2 linked regions of the Xenopus tropicalis genome follow. Each later gene encodes a partner of the first gene's protein in a complex. Links are inferred from orthologs where the notes say so. Each region holds a gene or a part of one and is shown on either strand. Other genes may lie near its edges. The genes, in order: kcnj4 and tax1bp3.

Evidence for each region.
Region 2: the proteins of kcnj4 (region 1) and tax1bp3 are in contact, whole or in part, in a crystal structure (PDB 3GJ9), measured with the Homo sapiens proteins. The link is inferred for Xenopus tropicalis from reciprocal best matches to the Homo sapiens genes KCNJ4 and TAX1BP3. Residues at the interface, in NP_004972.1 of Homo sapiens: Arg440, Arg441, Glu442, Ser443, Ala444, Ile445; in NP_055419.1 of Homo sapiens: Leu27, Ile28, Leu29, Gly30, Phe31, Ser32, Ile33, Gly34, Gly35, Asp38, Gln39, Gln43, Asn44, Thr58, Arg59, His90, Asp91, Arg94, Leu97, Thr98.

Annotation. Positions count from the first base shown.
Region 1 is NC_030680.2:122,456,532-122,467,840, reverse strand, and holds the start of kcnj4 (inward rectifier potassium channel 4), read left to right. Parts: upstream 1-6,145; 5' UTR 6,146-6,820; intron 6,821-11,309. UniProt on the Homo sapiens protein: Inward rectifier potassium channels are characterized by a greater tendency to allow potassium to flow into the cell rather than out of it.
Region 2 is NC_030678.2:30,653,727-30,664,399, forward strand, and holds the end of tax1bp3 (tax1-binding protein 3), read right to left. Parts: intron 7,830-10,673; coding exon 7,710-7,829; intron 6,271-7,709; coding exon 6,193-6,270; intron 4,400-6,192; coding exon 4,262-4,399; 3' UTR 985-4,261; downstream 1-984. UniProt on the Homo sapiens protein: May regulate a number of protein-protein interactions by competing for PDZ domain binding sites. Binds CTNNB1 and may thereby act as an inhibitor of the Wnt signaling pathway. Competes with LIN7A for KCNJ4 binding, and thereby promotes KCNJ4 internalization.

The sequences.
Region 1 (11,309 bases):
TGAAGAATTTTTTCTTCGATCAGTTTGCCCTTTGTAAACAGTAAAATAACCTTTCTCTATGCATTTTACTTATATAGTAGGAACTACTGTATTGCTTATTCCAGGGAACAGTTGACAACATGGGCCTCAAGCAAACCTTAAAAATAAATATGGCTAGAAATGCCATCATTTACATATTGAACTTATTAAACAGCCTAAAGTTTCAGCATCTCAGATCTTTAAAAATATCCCCATCTTGCATATTGTTATCAGCCAGTCTCCCATTTTCTCTGCATCATCTGCATCTCACTAAGATATAGAATTTGTTAAAGAGCAGAGACAAAGTTTGGCAACCACTTGTGGCTTCTAAGAAGTGCCTATAAGCAAGCAAAGGTTTGATGGAGCCATAATTTAATAAAGAAACTGTGGCTTTCAATAAACTGCATTTTAATTAGTAAAGGGCACAAGCCATAAATATACAACTGGCCAATCAAAGCATTGGAATTTATATTATATATTCTTTAGTATATCAGTATAGATGCCACCTGGCTGGTATTTGACCGACCTAGCCAGTAAATTACCAGCTAGGGCGAGCGCCAGTATTACAAAGTCACCGCCAATGTATATCCACCCCTGCCCATTTCCCTGCCTCTTACATCACAGCTCCACTCCCAATGATGTCGTTCCCCCAACACAAAGATATTAAGGTGGCCATACACGGGCAACCTCGCCAAGCGAGGGGATCTTCACGTGTATGGGCACCTTTAGTCACAGAAAAAGGTGGCAACCCTAGGTATAGACAAGGCAACCGGATACTTGTATGAAAGGCATGTGCAGTTAGGTTGTATGGAGTTCTTTGGCCCTTGGGAACATTGATACACTGATACATTTTCATGATGTTTGTTCATGCTCAAAAAGGTGGCAACTCCAAAAAAACCCTAACAGTATATACACATTTGTAACTTTAGAAAGGAGTTCTCCTTAGTGGCTTGTAACTGGCATCCCTCCTACTTCAAGAGTTTTGTAAAAGTAAAAAAATAGTGCTCTGTCTACACTTGGTGCCCTAAAGTGCAGAAGGTGTGGGCTTATATCTGGCATATCTGAGAATAAACTCCATATGGTTTCTATATTCTCAAACTCCTTCTCTTTCTTCTCTCAGATGGAAAGCAAGCTGGCAAGCAGCCACTGAAGAGGAGGCGCGGAGCATTCAGTTGCATTTAGGGGAAAGCAACCAGACCTGAGGGAAACCTGCCAGTTGGGTTTACCCCTAATACATAGTATAGGGGCACTAAGAAAAAAAAAACTGAATGGCTCTGATTCCTAAGGTGGCCACACACATAGCAATCCCGATCTTTCATGCAAACATTGGTCGCACAAAAGATTGTTCCCACCCTCCACTTACATTCAGGGTTGAATCTTCAGCTATGGAAGTAGAAACAATAGAAATTCTACCTCCACCTGGCAATCCAGCTCTGAACTTAGATTTTGCTCGGTCGTCATTTTAACCCCGCTGATCAACGTGTCAACTGATATCCGCAGCCTTCTGCGATCTCGGTCGCCTCTTGAGCCACAATACACCCACTGAAACAAGGTTTCCTATGATATTATCGGTGCGTGTATGGCCAGATTTAGTCTACTTACTCCTTTATATATTTATATAGTATATTGCATATATTACATTTATATTTCTTCCTGTAGTTAACAAACACCTTTTTGGGCATAAGTGTGTCACCAAACAGTAAAATAATCAATAATACCAGTATATACATTTCTATCATTCGATGGCTGAGAATGAGGAATGCAATAAGCTTTTTGGCTGTGCTCTGAGAAATATATAAGTTGTAGTTAATCTGCATGAATTGATACTGGGGCAAAACAATCCTATTGGGTTTATTTAATGTTCAAAAGATTTTTAACAGACTATGGGGCTCATTTATCAAAGTACGATCGCTTCCAAATACAAAAAAATTGTACTTTTTCGTACTTTGCAACAAAAAGTGTGACAATTTGTGTGACAAAATCGTATTTGTCGCACCGAGTACAAAAGTTTCGGATTCTTTTAAGCTTCGGTATCGTGACTTTCCTTGGGCCAGGTTGGAGCTGCAGAGTGCCATTGAGCCCTATGGGAGACTTTCCTTGGGCCAGGTTGGAGCTGAAGAGTGCCATTGAGCCCTATGGGAGGCTTTCCTTGGGCCGGGTTAGAGCTGCAGAGTGCCATTGAGTCCTATGGGAGACTTTCCTTGGGCCAGGTTGGAGCTGCAGAGTGCCATTGAGTCCTATGGGAGGCTTCAAAAAACATGCACAGAAGGATCAAAGTCAAAGGTTTTCCTGCCGTTTACGAATGTTCGGATCCGAAAATTTTGTGACTTTTGGTTTGCCAATACGATATTATCGTGACTAATACGATTTTTTTGTAAGCATTTTCTTCATATTTGCGATCATCATAAATTATTGTATCTAATACAAAACCAATCTTGCATCCAATCAGCAGGTGGCACATAAGCTGTTTGAAAGTAAACACCTAGTTAGTTGCTATTGGTTAACATACTTTACCAACTGTTGTTCTTTTTATTGCATTACCTTATTGAAGTCCTATGTAGTATCATAGGCAAATATTCCCTGGTACAGTAACCAATTTTTATTACATTATAAAAGTTCACTGCTAACTGGTTGTACAAGGGATACTGTTTACATTTGTTAATACGGCACATAAACCCACATTACTTTTATCTGAAAGAAAATACAAAGTGTTATATTAATTGTTACACTTGGGAACAGACAAGGGTGCTGGTATGAAATATATGGTAATAAAATATAAAACCAGAGATAACTTTATTCTAGATCAGCTGTAAAAGCAGGGAATTTTTGGGCCAATGGTTTAATTTAATTGATGTGTGTACTTTAATAGCAGTGTTTGCTGCAAGGAATTTTAGGGCAAGGAATTTTAACCCATTGGTCACAACCCAAAAATAGCACTGTGTTTTGCCCTAAAATTTTATTGCATATTTTGCAATTGCATTAGAGATTTTGATTTTCATGTCATTTTTGTTTGCTTGTTTTTGCCTGAAAAACATTCAAGGACACATTCACTTACCAAGATGTGGTGCACAAAGTGCAATTTTATGTGCATTTGCTATGTTTCCCCCCTACAATACACCATTTTTTCTCCACAGTTCCAGCATCACTGGGGATGCAAACGACAAAAGAAATGCAATTGCGCGTGCATTTTGCCACAGATTGGGCACAGTGGCGCTGACGTGTGCACCTTATTCTTTCAGCACAAGTGTGGCATCTTTTTTTTTTTTTATAAAAATACAATATATTTTAAAATAATTATTTTGAAATGTGTGCCAGTAACTTTTTTCAGCATTATAATTTTGGCCTGTCAACTAGTTATCATTCCTCTAGTACAGCACTGGTCAACTGTTTCCAGGTAGTGGGCTAATTAGCACCTAAATGATGAAATCAAACACTAGGGAGCCATTACCAACCACTGGATGGCCACATCTGGCTCACAGGTTTCCATTCCTGCTCTAGCAGTTGCCTGTATCTATCGTGGCTCTCTGGAATCAGCCAGTGGTACAGTGGGTACCTCCCAAGTTTTGCCCAGGGGTGAGCCTTACTAGGCACTGCTCTAATTGGAAAGCTTCTTCTTACCGACATGAGGGCTGCTTAGTACTCCGCATCCTAGCGTGGCCTGGAGTCTTTTTGTATGCAGGGGAATACCCTTACGTAAATAAACCTGTGACTCATGAGAAGTAAAACTCTAATATAAAGGCAGCGTTAATCACATTTTTACAGCATCACACAATTTCTGTCTCTTGAATGCAGTCAAGTAGATTCCAGCGTGGCAGCAGGTCCATTTATACTCGCAAACACAAGTGACTGGAAGTACCAAGTAGCATGTACTTTATCAGTGCTACCTGTCCTTACTGAACAAACTGAACTGAAAAGTTTTTTCTTTTGTATTTCAATAGTTCCCCTCTATAATACAATATGCTTGGAAAGACTAGGGAATTGTGGGTGATTTTTCAGGACTATTAATCTAGATACTTTTCAACCCTCCAACCCAGATTGTAATGGATCCCTCCGATAAGAAGAGCCGTGTAACCAGGTTTTTTGTACATGCCTTTCATTCTGTTGGAAGAGCAAACAGAAGTCTGAGCCATTTACCTAAACTATTTTTGGAAAGTCTCCTAGCAACATCTGATATAACTGTCTTGGGTTCTTTTTTACATAATCGGATGGGTCTTCTATTATCATCAGTCTGATCTACATGTGGGAGGTAATTTATCCTAATTGCGTTCCTGTGTTATGTCTTATCAGGTTGTACATAGTAATATGCCCCAAAAACTAGCACACTTGTAGTGAGATCAATGCTTAACATGCTCAAAAAAGGATAACTTTTATTAAAGGTAAACCTATTTTAAAATGCTTCTTCACACCAGTGATTTTGTGGATGCCTCTTGGTTAAACAATGGCCTGGATAGGTGAGTATGACTTACAGGCATTGGGACACTAAATCCTTGTGTGGTGGACATGGGTGTGGGAAAACTGTAAGCACAACTTGCTAAGGTGTTACTGAAATTCTGACTGGGCCAATACAGGAATTTTATTATAAGTTGGGGTTTTTATGAACTGAATTATTAGCTTCTGCAATATGGAGCTTTATAATACAGCATCCATAGCAAGCCCAGAGGTAAAATCTATTAGGACTATGACACAGAATAAGGACAATGACACATGGTGCTTCTTGTTGTGGCTACAAAATGCCAGAATACGCTGCCATAGAGAATACTATACTGGCTACAAGTAGCTTCATGTGTGATTGCCCCTATTCTGAAAAGCCAACTGCATGTTTTCAGACACTACTACAAACTAAATATCCTTTACTTCCGGGAACTTTTTACAAATTCAAAAAGTCAAAATGTGAGGTTTTTATATAATACAACATCCCATGCGCCTGACTTTTGACAGTAAAATCCCTTGTTGGAAAACAGATTCCAGCTCCCTGTGGCTTTGGATACCATAAATAAATATTGGGTTGATTAAGTTCACTCACCACGACTGATGGATTTGTTTGGGTGCTGGAGTCCCAAAGCCCAAGGTTAAGGGAGCAGCAAGAAATGAAGAAATCTATTAGCATCAGCAGAGAGGCAGGCATTAGTTCTCATAGACTGTGTCTGATGCGTATTTTACAAGTACATTTGCTATCCATGATGGGGAAGTTAATCACTTTTCTTCTATACTATTGTTCTTTTTTTCCATAAAGATTTTATTTAAATGCAAATTAACACCACAAAGACTGCCAAAAAGGAGAAAAAGTAAAGAGCTACAAATATTTCTGTAAGGAAACAGAATTTGGAATAGTGGAAAAAAAGGGTGAAAAGGAAAATAAAAAGAAGTCCTACCTCCCACTATCCCTTTTAGGGAAAGGAATTATTTTAGAAAGTCCAGCACTTTGTGTCAGGGTTGTCAGTGTGGAGACTCCCCTCAGGTGGAAGATGCTAAACACAGTCCCCTAATTCCACAGCGCAGCTTCTTGCAATATTGTGTCATTTCTGAGAGGGGAAGCATGAAAGTAAGTGATTAAAGCATTACTGATTAGCTACCACCAGAAACAAAGCAAGAGGGCACCCTAGATTTTTGCAAGTAGGGTGACCGACCTCCTTAAAGCTGTGTAACAGGTGAAGAAAACATAGCCCAGAAGAACTGAAGAAGCTGCTCGGATGAGTAGTGAAACATCTTCAATGATTACTTAACAAGTCCAGTTGCTTTAAATTTATTTATACTAGATAGCCCAGAAGATGGTTTTAGAGATAGATTTCAATGTAGATGCTAGGCTTGGAGACCATTGTTTGCCATGGAGAGCATCTCTTTAGCAAATATCACTTAATATCACACCAATGGCAATTCCTAAAATGTAAAAGTTGAAATAGCCAACACTGAGCCAACTAGAGAGAAGTGATATAAAATGATATAATCATTATTATTACAGGAAATTATACCAACAGCAAGCAGGCTCTTTTAAACAAAATGTTTAGTAGAACCTTCAGAACCTGACATTGCTCAGGTGTATACAGAGATATAGGGGGACATCTGAGATACTGAGCCCTTACACTTCTATTCCCCTCTCTCTGTTCCCTGGGATGCAGTGTGAATACACACTGAGATCACATGTAGAGGGGAGATCATCCAGCCCAGCGTTGTCAGATTCCTGTGCACAATCACAAACTGCTCAGATGCAGAGAGAGAGAGTGGGGCAGAGAGCAGAACAGATCGAGGGAGAGATGCAGGGAGTGGGAAACTGAGGTAAAGGAAAGCGTTTGGAGAGGGGGCAAAAGAGAAGACAGAAAGAAGAAGAAACAGAAAAATAGCAAGCGTATGGTAAGAGCAGAGAGAAAAGAATAATTGCCAGGGAAATAGAAAGACAATGAAGCCAGATGGACATACTGTGAAAAGAACAAAGGGACAATTATAAAGAGTCAGGAGAACCAATCGAAAGACAGTGAATAGAATGGTTTGGGATATAGAGAATATTTGCAGGGGTCTAAAATAAACTGTGGCCATTTGAGTGGAGAAGTGTAAGTATCAGCTTGTGAAAGTGCGGGCAAGTGGAGACCAGGCTGAGGTCAGAGTCAGTGAGGAACCTGTAAGGAGATAAAATGAGATTTGCAGCACATGGTGGCAGCCTGAGCCGAGGCACCAGCAGCAGCACGCCGGGCAAAGTTAGTAAAGAGGGAGCCAAAGTCTGAAGAAGAGAGAGATTATAAGGAGACTGGAGCAGCCCTCTTAGTGCCCAGAATTCATTTTTCTTAGGGCATCGCCAACCAACAAGCTGGTAAGAAACCTTCTTTTACCTTGGGTGGAATTATTTGTGGACTGTTCAAGTACCAATCTTACTAATAACTATGGAGGGAGGGGGGTTAAAGGTTTGCTGAGAAATGTGAAGGCTCGGAAAGGTAACTGTTTATAGTAAAACTGCTACTGTTTTATACTGAGGTGCATACAGCAGCTAATGGAATGACAATTCTTTTTGTACATCTTGGGGCTATACTGTTGCAATTAAATACAACCCCCAACCCCTCGCCCTGCGCAGCAGGATAGACTGAACAACAGAGATGTTGTTAATATGAATTACTAGCCAAGAATGGGTTTACATGTTCATATTTACACATTCGCAAAGCAAGACAGTGTCAGTATTGCACAATCTTTACTTGCATAACTGTATCTCTCCCATCTCTTTTCCTCCGCTGGATCCATAGAGCAATCTGCCTACAAACGATTCACAGACAATACTGATATGCAAACTTACTGTGTAATAATTACACAGATTTCGTAGTATCATAAAGAAACAGGTAGAAAGGTACTAATTATATTTCCTTCAAATAGTTATTTTTATACCATGTGGGTAGGCGTGCAATGCCAACTATACACTCTGCTGCACTAGTTACAGCACATTCTAACTCTATTAGCTGCCAGGATCCATATAAATCCATATAGTTAATGGACAGTAGCCCTTATTCTTGCTTGCTAACTATTATTATTTATTTATTTATTTATTTATTTGTTAAAGCTTTGGCAGTGATTTTTTTTTCTTTTGGCTGGTTTTCATAATGAAACAGTGTGGCATTCAATAATGGTGTCATTTCTAGAATCTGCCCCTGGACTTTATGCCTAATAAATAAACAATGATATAAAAGAGAGTGCAGGAAGGTTGTGCTTCCCTGGACTCTCTATTGTAATTATTACATGGTAACGGGGAACACAAGAACCCTTGCCATTACATAACACAGTTACTGACTAACTACAGCTTCACATGTTTAGGGTGTTTTTGGACTTCCGCTATGAGATCCAACATTTGGTGAACATGTTTATATAAGGATATAGTTCCCAATATACCCAATATACAAGATTTGAAATATGCATTTTACCCAAAAAACATGCCCCTACTGGCCTTGAGATTGGGTCCCCACCAGCCAACACTTTGGGCAGTCCCACAGTTGGGGAACCACTGTTTTAGAAATGGAACATCCTTTTCTCACTGCTGCTTTCAGGCACAACTGGAGGCAGGTAGGTTAAACCAAACTATGCCTTCTATGACATGGCTGTTTAACCTGCAGACTTCTAGTTATAGTTGTACTACAACTCCCTGCATTGGGGGAAGCTGGGAGCTGTAATTAATGCACAGATACAGGACTAAAGAACAGGCAGTCTTGTAAATCTACATTCTATGAATGTCTTTAAGAGGGGCTTGATGTTTTCTTGAACAAGCATAATATCCAAGGCTATCACCATACTAAAATGTACAATTAGTATAGATATTGGGATATATAGTTTACATATGTAAGAGTATAGATAGGTCAGTATAAGTCTATATATGTGCACTGGAGGAGGGGCTGAATTTAATGGACTTTTTTCAAACCAACTTAACTATGTAAATCTAATGATAAATGGGAGTATTTTTAACAGCACAAGAAAGTTTCCAGTTATGAAATATCAGGATGTAGGAGGAATAAGCAAGAGAAGATATCATACAGCAATAGAAAGTGTCATTTGTATCTGACTGCATTACAATTGCTAAAGGCTGAATGCTTATTTCAGCCTCCCCTCCGTGAACTTCCTGCGCTCAAGGGGTTAAGCTAAATACCAAGGCACACAAAAGCAACCCATCTCTCATATATTTCCATAGAAACATAAAAAAAAGCCCTGACAGATGAGAGAGAATTTTCACACCCAGCCTGTCCATTTAGCAAAGGGTGTAAAACCCCTAGAATTGCAGAACCTTAACCTTCTCATTAACATTCTGCATTAATCTTTTCTCTGGCTTATGTAACATATTGGCTCTCGTGCTCTTCACCATCTCTGTCGGTTGGCTCTGCTCTGTGTTGGTCTCTCTTCTTTAAAGTACTATATATGCTCATGCCATCTCTCATCTCTGCTTCATATTAAAGATACACTTCTAATCTGAATTTATTCTGTACTCTATCTTTGTAAAATATAAATCCATTTGAGTACACTTTTCTGGATCCATGGATCCACTTCCTTCAAGGTACAGGCCAGGTGAACTGGGGTTAATTTTAGCATAAATCTATAAATAGTCGTTTAGAATAACTTGGCCAAGACACTGGCACTCTCTGCCCCTTAAAGAGTATTATGCTTATAAGTGGGATAAACTAAAAAAAAATTCTCAATATCTGAATCAATATATACTACTTATAAGCAGGATACATATATTTATATATATACACACATACACACACGCACACATATATATAGACTCTGTTTTCTCCCATCAAGGGCATTCACACCAGTGCAATAGTGGTTATATATAACACCTGTGTTTGCTACAGGTATGTGTGGTGTATATATATAGCAAAGCATGGCAACTCTCTCACAGTTGCATATTTATTAAAGGGTGGAAGAATTGCTCACTAGAGTTTGCCTGAAGGAAATTTCAGATTTATAAGGGCACATATTTATATAAGGCTAAAAATGAGTACACCTTATTTTCATCCTTGGATAAATATGCCCCTGACCATCCCATACATGACAATTGAGGGCTGTGAAATTTTCCTCCAGTGAGCTCTAGTTATATTTTCACCCTTTTTTACATATGCCCTTTAGTAATGCAATGTGCCCACTGGTGCAAACATTTACACAGTATGTGCTCCATTCCACTCTGTATGGAGTACATGTATTGTTATAGAGAATATTGTTTAAATGCCCATACTGTATGTGGAGAAGGAACGCTGTGAGTGCAGAGCCATTTTGCACTTGTGCTTTTCTCTCCCACTGGGGCAGTAAAAGGGCTGAAAATTGCATGTACCAAAATACATATGTTTTCTTGCACCAAGCTCCAATGCATCTGGGGCACCAGTTACTGTAAGTTAATACCTGCCATTGACTAGGTAACCCAAAAATGAATTGATGTAAACTTAAGGTGGCCATAGACGGGCGGATTTTAGCTGCAGATTAGGTGCCTTTATACCAATGCGGCAGTTCTTGAATAACATCTGTACATCACACTGTTTTAAATAGTAAAAAAAGAAGCAGCAATAACAGTTGATATTAGGATTAGTGCAAATCATTGTTTTTTTATTAATTGTGATGCTGTGTTATTTTCCCTGAATATTGGCTTAATAGCAGGAATACATTAACTTAAAAAGGTCATACATGGATGGATTTAAGTTGCCGATTCGGCCCCTTCAGACCAACTTAGCAGCCTATTTGCCCATGTATGGGGCCCTCCAACAGGCCTGCTTGATCAATATCTGGCTAAAAATAAGGCAGATGTTGATTGGGCAGGTTTATATTTCCCATGAGATCAAGGACTGGATCAGCTTGTTGATGTGGTCCTCACCCCAATGACCTGTATCCCTGTTTGGCCCTAGGGCTAAAAAATCAGATTAGGCCAATATCACCCACCTTTGGTGTACATCAGGCAAGAGCCGCCTCAGGGGTCCTAGCCACCTGAGGTGGCCAAGTTGATGCCATTCCCTTGGCTACTGCTGCATATAGCTTTTTGCATCAGAGGGGGTGAGGGGCACATCGCTAGAGCCCTATTGCGCTCTCTGCACTAGAAGAGCCAAATTTGCGATTTAAAAAGTTACCAGGACTGGCTTTTTTTCTTAACTCACTTCATAGCTGCAGCGCCTCTCATATCAGGGAAAAATCTTCTCATTTGGTGAAACAGACGGGCCAGTTTACTCAGGGTGCTTCTCTGAGCACTTTTGTAATTTACATTCATTTTCTATTTTAAGGGTTTCTGAGATATCTGCGTGTTTACACTGCTAATACCTGGCTCCAACCATTCTGCAAATGTGTTGTTACATGTCATGTAAGCTTGTAAGTAGTTTTTGCAGACTTTTTATACTGTTGTTTAGCGGTAAACCCTATTGTTGGCTACAGAGGGCTTAGCATGACTGCTCTGCAGACTTGAAACCCTTTAATGCTGTTTCATAATCCTTATGGTTTGGCAATAGTATAATATGGAAAGCCTTATAGCCTCTTTAAGAAATACCTAGGGAACATTACCCTTGTTTAATCCGTGTGATACAAACTGAAGCAGACCCAGTGAGGATCATAGGGCTGCAGAGGGATATTACAGAAACACAGAGGGGCAACAGTAGAAGGTGTTATGTTTGCTACTGGTCTAGTAACCCATATATTTATTGGCCACCTTTTCAAAAACAAACATCTGATCTACCAATTTACTTGATCTGGGCAAAAAGGATCAGTAAAACCAAACACTAAAAATAAATAAACAAACCAGGGAAAGTAAGAGAAGAAATAGGCAAAGAAGCAGCAATATCTGAAAAAGAGAATAA
Region 2 (10,673 bases), on another chromosome or scaffold:
GTACCAAGTCACAGTTACATGTATTAGTCACGTTATACTGTGTTTATATATAAACAGTCCTAGAGTACACTCATATATATCAAAAAAACATTATATATATATATATATATAGATAGATAGATAGACACGTACCTAGTATCTGCACATCACCTAGCAGGGTATGTAGCAACCTCACTCCCTGTGAACAACATTTGTTGCTTTAAATGAAAGTTCAGTTCCTCAAGCCTAAAGGGTTGGCCACTGGTTCTTTTTTTTTTCTATGTGAAAAGACTCTGTTGCTACCTCTATAATCCACTCTTATGTACTTGTAAACGGTTCTCATCCCATGACAAGCGCCTTTTCTCCAGAGGAAACAACCCCAACCCTGATACTCTAACTTTATAGTTTAATATTTTCATTCCTACTACAAATTTACCACTTTATTTGCCCGTCTCTTATATGCCCTATTTATGGACAACAGCCCAAATGGGTTAGATCAGCAGGAAGTGAAGGAGGACTGCAGCTGCTCTTCCTCCCCTGATGGTGCACTGGTAAATATGGGGCATCTGAAGATTACACTTTCATTCCTTCCTCGTCCTTAGTACCTGGATACTGGTCAATATGATCGCCCAGCCATACACATATTCCAAATATCGATTGTTATGTGTATGGCCAGCTCTACCCAATTAAAAGTTGATCTGCAATCCAATTGTAAACAAAGAGTCTTCATTTTTGGAACATTAGGGTTCTTAGGAGTCCCATCAAAGACTATATTTCCATCCCTGCTGTCAGTTCCCATAACTAACCTGGGCCAACTATCCAAATTGTATGCTCACCAGAGACCAGCCTGGGAAATGTTCTTTGCTGTGATCATGAGTTTACAAAGACATTCTCAGCTAATGCTAAAAGCAATTACTAGTCTACCTAAGGCCACAAAATATTTTAATGATACAATAATTCACCTTAATAAAGGCACACAACAAAAATAAAAATCCAACAGAGACCTTCAAAGTAAGGTAGATTTTATTCAGCAAACGTGTCCACATAGAAAAGCAGAATAACAAATCTCCCCCCCTTTTCCCAGTAATTTACAAAGTATAAAGACTTTTTGGCACATTGGTCAAAGGGAAAGCAAACAGGAAAGCACAGATCTCTGCAATCTACTACTGTAATGTCAGGTAAAAACTCACACACTTTATCTGCTGGCATAGAAATTAGTGATTACCAATACTTTAAATCACGTCACTCAATAAAGCTTTCATGTGTCATTCAAACCTGTCTGATTGCTAGGGTCATGTAGACCTAGCAACAAGAACAATACGCAAACAGACCACCCGTCCAATGTTGATGGATTATAGGGCAAGCCAGTGACTAGGTGTGAACAAGCAGATAACATTAGCCAGTAAATGCAGTTGTTCGAGAGGTAAGAAGGCCTGAAACGTCCAACCATATCCATGTGTTTGGTCAGATAAGCCCTAGGTTTATGTAGAATAGTAACTAAGTCTGTCAGTGGCCTGGAAATGCAAGTCAAGTGAATCTGGGGCTGGGGGCCAGCACTGGTTCAAATGAAGTAGGACATTAGTGTGCACGTCTAGCAGCAGGGACACTACCTACAGCTTGAGTAGTGAAAGTAACACAAACGTGTGCAAAACGCATACAAAACAGGAACATTAATGAAATGTGCAACTTAGTGGTTTAAGCAGCCCTCTCTCTGAAGCTGACTTTGTTAGGGATCAGTCTGGATCTCAGGGGTCCATAGCACTCAGAAGCCTAAATTACACGATTTTCCTCCTTTGGTCATTGGGGCTAGAGTGCAGCTTTAAAGGCCAAGGTCCCACAGGGAACCCATCCCTACACACTGCAGTAGGCCGGCAGGCAAAAGCTCCTGGTGAGCTTCAGTTCCCATTCAAGCTGGATATAGTAATTCAGACATGCTTTTCCCAAAAAACAAATAGCTATAACCTATATAGGGGTTTTGAAAAAATATCAAATGTAACATCTAGTGTTTATTTGGTAATCTATACATGCACGTCTATTGGCTGCTTTCACCTAATGAAACTGTTTGCAATAAAAACAATAAGGTTTTATATTGCTGTATGAAGGGGTATTTACCATCAACCCGAATGATTATTTTAAAAACATTTTTTCCTCTTTAATTCAGTTACAAATTGTGATACTGGGGTCCCATATGGAATAAAGCACACAAGCAAGAATAATAGTGACACCCTTGCCTGTCATATCAAACAATCAGACTCCTAAGAGTATATTCCCATATAAAAAGGATATGAGCAATAGCACCTACTGAGCTCCAACAGGACTGGAATTTCTGTTTTGTGACTCACATGTGGGCATTAGCAAGACTGGCAGCAATGGGTAGCACAGCCTGCCCTGCACCGATAGTAGGAAGAGGCACTTTAGTGTTTCTAACAAAAGCTTTATACAAACTATCACTCAATGTCATTCTGCAACTTGTGATAAAACAAGAACTGCTGCGGGGCCCCATGAGAGGATGTGGAACTTAAACGGCAAAGGATTTGTTCACATTATGCAGCCTAATATGTTTCCATGTGACTGGGTAGACAGCTTCAGCCACAGTTACAATTCTATAAAAGCTTGGCCTGCCAGTAGCGTAGCGTTCTCCAGTTCTGAATTCTCATTGGTCCAAATGAAACATGCTGCAGGTCATACACCAGAACTCAAGCAGCCACTGACTTACTAGACAAATACAGACATTAGTCACGTCCGTACAGGAAAATCATGATTCCAGTCTTACTGATGTAATGCACACAGGCAAAACAGCTTCTGGGAAAGATTAACTCATTCTGGTCCAAACTGGAGAAGTCTCAACTGATGAACATAAACATATAGGAGTGTCTTGCCACAATCAAAAGCAGTTTATTACAAGCCTAGGAATATCGTTTGGTCAGAAATTTAGAAAAGTAATGCAAAGTACATACAGTACAGTTAAAACTGGAAATGATACAAGACAGTTAAACTAGCTATATGGAGTGGTTTCATATATATATATTTATATAAATTAGTACAGGCCAGTCAGTTGCTGGTGGCAGTGGGACTGCATATGAATTGCTAGAGATATAGATAAAAGGGGACAGGGGAACTTGTCTGATTGTCTGTGCTGTAGTAACACCAGTAACAAAGCAGTATATTCCCTGGGCAATCTATTTCCTGGATTCTCCTATTAAACCTTGGCCAGTTGGGCGCCAAAGTCAGTAACCTCTGACAGCACTAGGTCTTGAAGCCCCTCAAAGAGACACATACCCTAAATGGAACAATGTAAAATTGTCCAGAATGCTCTTCTGAGCACTTTTGCAATTTATAGGTAAATTTTGTTTTAGATTTGACGACATTGGCAGTTTTAACACTGCTAATATCAGAGTGTCCCCTGTTGATTGGGCTCAGGGTAGGGTTCTTGTCCAGTTGTCTCTTGTAATGTGCCAAGAGGGTAAGAATAAAACTGAGCAGAGAAGCGACAGGAGGCTTTCTGCTTCTGTAAATTAATCTTTTGCCATTCGTCTGGCCCTTACCTGGGCCCAAAAACAGGGGGCACTCCTGTTACACATTCACATCAGCAGTGTAGTAACTGGTAATATCATGAAAAAAGTCAAATTGATAAGAGCGCTTACACCTACAAATTTTGCCTAGATTAAGCATTTATTGATTCAGCTGATTGACCCTGACGGTAATTAGAGGCAGTGACCCAGGCTGTACCCAGAGACTGCTGATGGCAGCCCTTGTGATAAATGCTGAAAGGCGAGGATGACTCAGTACAAACTCTACTTCCCCTCCTAGAAGAGACTATTTGCTCTGCAAGTACAAATCTGTGTATAAACCAGTGATACAGGGACCTCTGTTTACATGTTGAATTTTGTAAAATAAAGTCCCCATATTTGTGGTTGCTCCAATAGAAGCAACTTAACACCTGAAAGTATTAAAAAAGTGAACTGGGAATCGCATAGGAGATACCTACCTGCTTTATCTTTGCAGTGGAAAGATGTGTGCTTTTCTACTGGGGCAGTAAGAAATTGCTCTTTCATTTGCAAGGATAAAGACGGGCAGAATTTAGGCCAATGGGAGCCAGGCACATTAGAATTCTTTTTGGTTTGTTTTGGTGCGGAACAAGCAGTAGCCTGGGAGGGACAGAAAGGAGCCAGCAACCTATAGCCCTGCAATGTGCTGCTGGTGTGTGTAATACAGAACTGAAATGTGTCCGGGTAAGTACACCTGTGTAGCTAAGAGATTCAGACTCTCGGGAATGTGATGCTTAGGGTCTCATGGACTGTCTCACAGCCTCTTGCAAGGATTTTCTGGTCACAAGCAGCCGGACAACCTCCTCATTTTTCTTGGTGAGGCGTTTCCTTGCCTGGTCGTGCGTTACCATTGTCATGTCCCATCCATTTACCTGAAACACACCGACAAATAATAAACGATTAAATAAACTGCATGGTTGTATACGAAACTCTGTCCAAAATAGGTGAGAGGCTAACATTACTACTCTAACGTTACTACTGCTAACATTTTTTAACACATAGAGTATGGCGCACACACACAGGCAGGGTAGGACAGGCAGAGTATGGAACACACAGGCAGCATAGGGCAGGCAGAGTATGGCACACACAGGCAGCATAGGGCAGGCAGAGTATGGCACACACAGGCAGCATAGGGCAGGTAGAGTATGGCACACACAGGCAGGGTAGGGCAGGCAGAGTATGGCACACACAGGCAGGGTAGGGCAGGCAGAGTATGGCACACACAGGAAGCATAGGGCAGGCAGAGTATGGCACACACATGCAGCATAAGGCAGGAAGAGTATGGCACACACAGGCAGCATAAGGCAGGAAGAGTATGGCACACACAGGCAGGGTAGAGCAGGGAAGGCAGAGTAGGGAAGGAGACAGGAAAACCTATTATGACTATACAAGAAACTGAAACTCCAAGATGAACAGTTTGTACTGCTCTACATACAGGACACAATGCTGGCACAGTCTGAGGTGTGAACAGGTGAACAATGTGAGCGCCAACGGTCTGAGCCTGGGTTTTGAACAATGGTATCAGCAGCCAGACAGGTGGGGGGGGGGCACACAGGCTACCAGTTGAACACCACTACTCTAGAGAGATAAATGGCATTTCAGCATCTGGATGTCAGAAGAAAAAGGATGGGTTTGGCAGATGCCAGGAGAACACTAACTGCCTGAATGCATAATGCCCCCTGTAAAGCTTGGTGGAGCAGAAATAATGGTCTGGGCCTGTTTCCAAGGTTTGGGCCCCTGGTTACACTGAGTAAACCTTACGGCTGCAGTGTAGAATTAAATTCAGTGTCATGCTTCCTACTTTGTGGCCCCAATTTAATTGAAGTTACTTTCCTGTTTTAGCACAGTAATCTCCCATGCACTAAGATAAGTCAATACACCATAGGTTTGCTGAGATGGGAGTGGAAGAACTTGACCCGCTCTCAGTATGGCAACATGTAGCAGATTAACCATAGCTTTAAAGGGATTGTTCACCTTTACATTAACTTATAGCATGATGTAGAGAATTCTATTCTGAAACAATCTGCGATTGGTCTTCATTTTTTTGCTTGTGTTTTTTTGTGAAGATTCTCATTCATCCAGGTCATGGTATGTTTGTATTAATAAGTCAAATTAACTGGACTTGCTGTGTTTTTCTTGAAGACGTTTGGCCAGTCATCCAACTGGTTTTGTCAATTCAGAATGGTTTCTGAATTATTCAGCAGCTCTCCAGTTTGGAATTTTAACAGCTATCTGGCTGCTAGGGTCTTCTTTATCTTAGCAACCAGGCAGTTGTTCAAATGAGAAACTGGAATATGGATAGAAGTGAGTTTGAATAGAAAGAGAAAAAAGTAACAATAAAAACAAAATTGTAGTCTCAAATAACAATGGTTTTTTTTGGCTGCTGGGGTCAGCCACCAACCCTTTGAAACCTGGAAAGTGGCAGTATAGAAATGCAAATAATTTAATAATGCTAAAAAATAAAAAATGATGACCAAATGAAATGTTGCTAAGAACTAACCATTCTACAACATACTAACTAAAAAGTGAACTACCCCTTTGTCAATTGGGAAAAAGCCCAGGAATACCCACCCCCCACGGACAGCATTGTGATTAGTTGCAGATATAAGGACATTAGGGCTTATGCAATGGTCAGTGGATTGTCAGGTAGTGATCAGCTATTTACCTGCATTATTTTGTCTCCAATTTGAAGTCCAGCCACCTCCGCAGGGCCTCCCTCTGTTACTCGTGTCACATAGATACCCTGAAAGCATCAAGTTATATTCTTACTGCTAATTCAGTAGTTAAAGTTGAAAAGCTTTTACAGACTGGGACTTATTTATAAAGGCATGTAAAGAAAAACAGCATTGAACCCCTACATATCCACCGGGCACTTTAATGCCACAGTATGCCATGGACACCATGTAGAATCCTAGAAAGCTGTGTATTGATTAGATGCAAATTTACAGGTGAATATAAAAAAGTTTTTTAAAGCTCAAGTATAGTTAGTAAGGACTATTTCATCAATCATTGCATGGCATTAATTCACACTTAAAGGAGAAGTTAAGGCTAAGTCACTTGGGGGTGCCAAAATGTTAGACACCCCCAAGCGACTTTAATCGCTTACCTTGTACCCCGGGCTGGTGCCCCTGTTAGGAGAAAACAGCACCAGCCCGGGGTAGCAGCGAGTGTGGTCTCCTCTTCCTTTCAGCTTTTCACTCTACTGCACATGCGCTGGCGCAGGGATTTTGACACAGAAGGAAGCGCTCGCTGCAAGTACCCCGGGCTGGTGCGGTTTTCTCCTAACAGGGGCACCAGCCCAGGGTACAAGGTAAGCGATTTAAGTCACTTGGGGGTGCCTAACATTTTGCCCCCCCCCAAGTGACTTAGCCTTTCCTTGTCTAACATTTATTCTACACTTTTGTTGTTTAAAAGATCTTTATTAAATATGTCCATAGAGTAGCTCTTTTATAAGCACAGGTGCTAAATTGCACTATTGCAGGTACCAATAGCTTCCAATCAGCAAACACTTTTGATCAGTCTACTAAACGTTAGCAAAGATTGGCTGCTAGCAGTAACCACACTTACATTAGCACCTTTGATACTAAATTAGCCACAAAAGATCCATACTTTAAGCAACAGTAATGCCATAACGTCATTATTTGTAGTGCCACAGTCTATGATGTGTGTATAAAAGGAAGAGCCACAGATCGTAGATTTTATGACCTGAAGCACTTCCAGGGGCAGATTGCCAGCTTTTACAGCAGGTTATCTGTCTTACCCCCATTCCAAAGCAATAAGGAGGGTGGGGGAGTGGTCTCCCTAGTGGCCCAGGGAATCGCAGATACATGGAAAACACATGTCATGGCTTCAATCTACAGCCCCCTGCCATCTCTAGCTGCACGTAGTGGTTTCTCTAAACACTAAAACTGCCCCATGCAGACCCATGTGTGACAGGAATAATGTCTGCCTGTCACTGCACACATTTCAGCCTGAAAGTGTCCATTTTCTGGCCAAAATCCAGCCTGTGTGTAGATTCCTTTCATTGCCTACATACCACACAAGGTGATAGCAAGCTGTGTATGCATTTTCTCTCCTGGCAAATGTAAAGCACTCATATAAGCCATAGTAATCTTTGCAACTGTCATTACATGCTGAGCTATCTCACTCAAGTATCAATGCGCAATCACAAGAAGTTCCAACCTTGTCTGTCTTGTCCTCGGAGAAAGGGTTTTGTGCCGGGTCCTGGTCGATTCCTCCTCCAATGCTGAAGCCAAGGATCAGATTATCCCCTTGGTGCAATTTATAGATTTCAACCCGTTGCTACAGAAAAAAAGGAATGGAAATTAGTTCCAAATCAAGGACTGAGGTTTAACCCTTCTGGTTATTAGCCATCCCATAAACCCAGTCTGAATATCAGTAACAGTTCCATTCAGTGTAATTTCTTATTTGCTGTTCTTGAAACCAGAGCTGAATGAACTGCTTGACAATGTCCTGGCCAAAGAAAGGACCTTCAACCACTGGGCCAATGTAATTCTTAGCACCATCTTGTCCTCGAAAATACATTGTGTTGTGCATTTGCAGCCCCATGTTGTGAATCTCACCTACCACCACCACCCTGTATCAGGGGTCACTTAGCAACCCCTGCAGTTCCTTATGACTTACAACAGAGATTGGTAAAATTGGAGCTTGGGCCCCTGGCATTCACAATGATTGCTGAACCGCTCTCAGAGCAGCTGTACTTGATATGGGATGAGTGATAACAGGTATAATAGGGCAAAATGGTGAGAGTAAAACATGATATCACTGTTTCCTAATATGTTGGCCTTTGTTTATTTTTAAAGTATAACTTCATGGATCCCCGCCCCCCCCCCCCCCAAAAAAATGGTGTATTACCTTGGACCCGGCCCTGAGAAAAGAATGTGTTCATAGGTAATTGATAAAATAACTGCTAATTTGAAAACAGCACGAAACAGAATATGCAGGGGTTTGTGGAAGGCAGCTTGGCCTACTGCCGTTTTGGAGAGTTACCCAGATATGTGTTTCTATGCACCATATGCCAAACAGCCATGACTCATTGGTTAAACATCTCAGGATCTGGCTCACCCCAACAGAAACTTAGATACGTCTCTATCGCTTGGCCTTCAGCTAGGACTGTCACGCATTCCTCCTGTATCTAAGCCGTCTCTGTCAGAAGGGGGCCACATTTCTATAAGAACATATTCTACTCTATTCTATAACAACACTGCTGAAGAGACAGAGCCAAATGTATCCAATGCAGATATACATTTTTTCAGCAGCCAATACAATTTCTTAGGGTGAAGACACACAGAGCTACTTAGCAGCAGCTACTTTTCACAGCTACTAAACTCCAGAATATACCCTGCCATAGACAATACTGAGAATTGCCTCTGCTAAAACACACGTAGAGACAGTTATCAGTAAATGATCAGCATTGTCTATTTTAGTAGCCACTATAAGTAGCCACTACTAGTAGCTCTGTGTGTCTTCAACCTAAGAAATACAAAATATCCCTACTGTGCCCAACACAATGGTAATTAAAAGTCCAGCCAGCACCCAGAATTGTGATGCAACGTGTCCATAATTTATTTGTTTTTAATCCAAGACAGCAGATCTAAAGATAAAATAAGACTGCATTGTGTGGGCTTTTGAAAACCCACTGGTAGCAGCAGGCTGGCTGTTGGGACAATATTGCAGAATGGGGAAGAAACTGGTGGCTCCAGCCCTTTGGAACCTATGGAGAATGGTAGCAAAGCAAATAAAACCACTGAATAAAAGAGAACAAGTTCTCTGTACTTGATCTTCCATAAGCCTGACTTTGACCCTCGCAAGCACTGAAGAAGGAATGATAACGTGACTATAGAGTTGTATTCCATGGCCAGGATATCCAGCATTTGGTCAGACCCTCTTTAGGAAGGTTACAGCTATATAAATAAAGACACTGTCATGACATTCACTTGCAGTAGTTCCAATAGAAGTAATGGTCAAAACGGAGCTTAAAGTACAAAAATCACTTCTCTCCAACTGGAAGCTCACAGGCTTAATACAGGCCAAGGTCTCCGTGTAGATAATGAGCCCTTGGAGGACAGCATTTCTGCCTCAATGCCAGCCTTCCCCAGTAGATAAAAGGTGTATCTAACAGGGTGTAACCCTTAGACAAACATACTAGGAAAAGTAACACACCAGGGACCTCTGACCTGCCTTATATGAGTCACGCAGACATGCTGGTACAAGCGTGCCCGTGCTATGGCACTGATTTGGTGCAAATAGTTTGCAAAGACGAAGAATGCAACTTGTAGCACAGATACACCTGACCCCACCAGCTCTGTCATGTTTATGTAAGACACGCTGCTCTATTTATAATGTCAGCTAACAGATTTTTTGTTTTTAGTTAAGTGATCTATTCAGGTAGTAAAAATTGCAACCGACTTTAATATAATTGATTTTTTAAAAATTGCAAATTGCCCTTAAGAGGTGCCATAAGGATATACATTTAATTAATGTTTTGCTTGGCCTTTGTGACCTTAAGGTACCTATATACACAAAGGCTAATGACGGGCTGTATAGCTGCAGAGCTGAAAATACTGTAATTACAAGCCCAAGGCCTCAGGATATTTTACCCCTATCATTAGGCTCTATTATTAAAAATCAAATTTGCACCTGGGCAGTAACCCACAGCAAAGAAAAGATATCTTTTTTAATTTCACTGTTCTACCTGCAGTTGGCTGACAAATGCTAATCACTGACTGGATTCTATTGGCTACTGCCCAAGTGCATATTCGCCCAGTGTTGCTAAATGAGGGATCAGGGACACTTTGAGGTACCAGCAGGCCTTGGGCAATATTTCACTGGTAGGTCCCTACTGCTTGTTTGTACTTACTGAAGTAGAGATGGTGTGCCACAGCCATGGGAGTAGAAAAATGATAAATGGAAATGCCACAAGAAAAAAGGCAAAAATAATATAAATAACCATACTGTAGGGATGTACAGTAAAATGTAGGATGCTTCTGCCAAAAGTAAGCCCAGATGAAAAGTGTGCTAGTGGGCCCCCTGTCCTGATGGGTCCTGGGCAAATGCCCCTTTGGCCCAATTATTGAAACAGCCCTGCAAAGTCGGAAACCCTCACTGGGACGACAAGACAAAGCA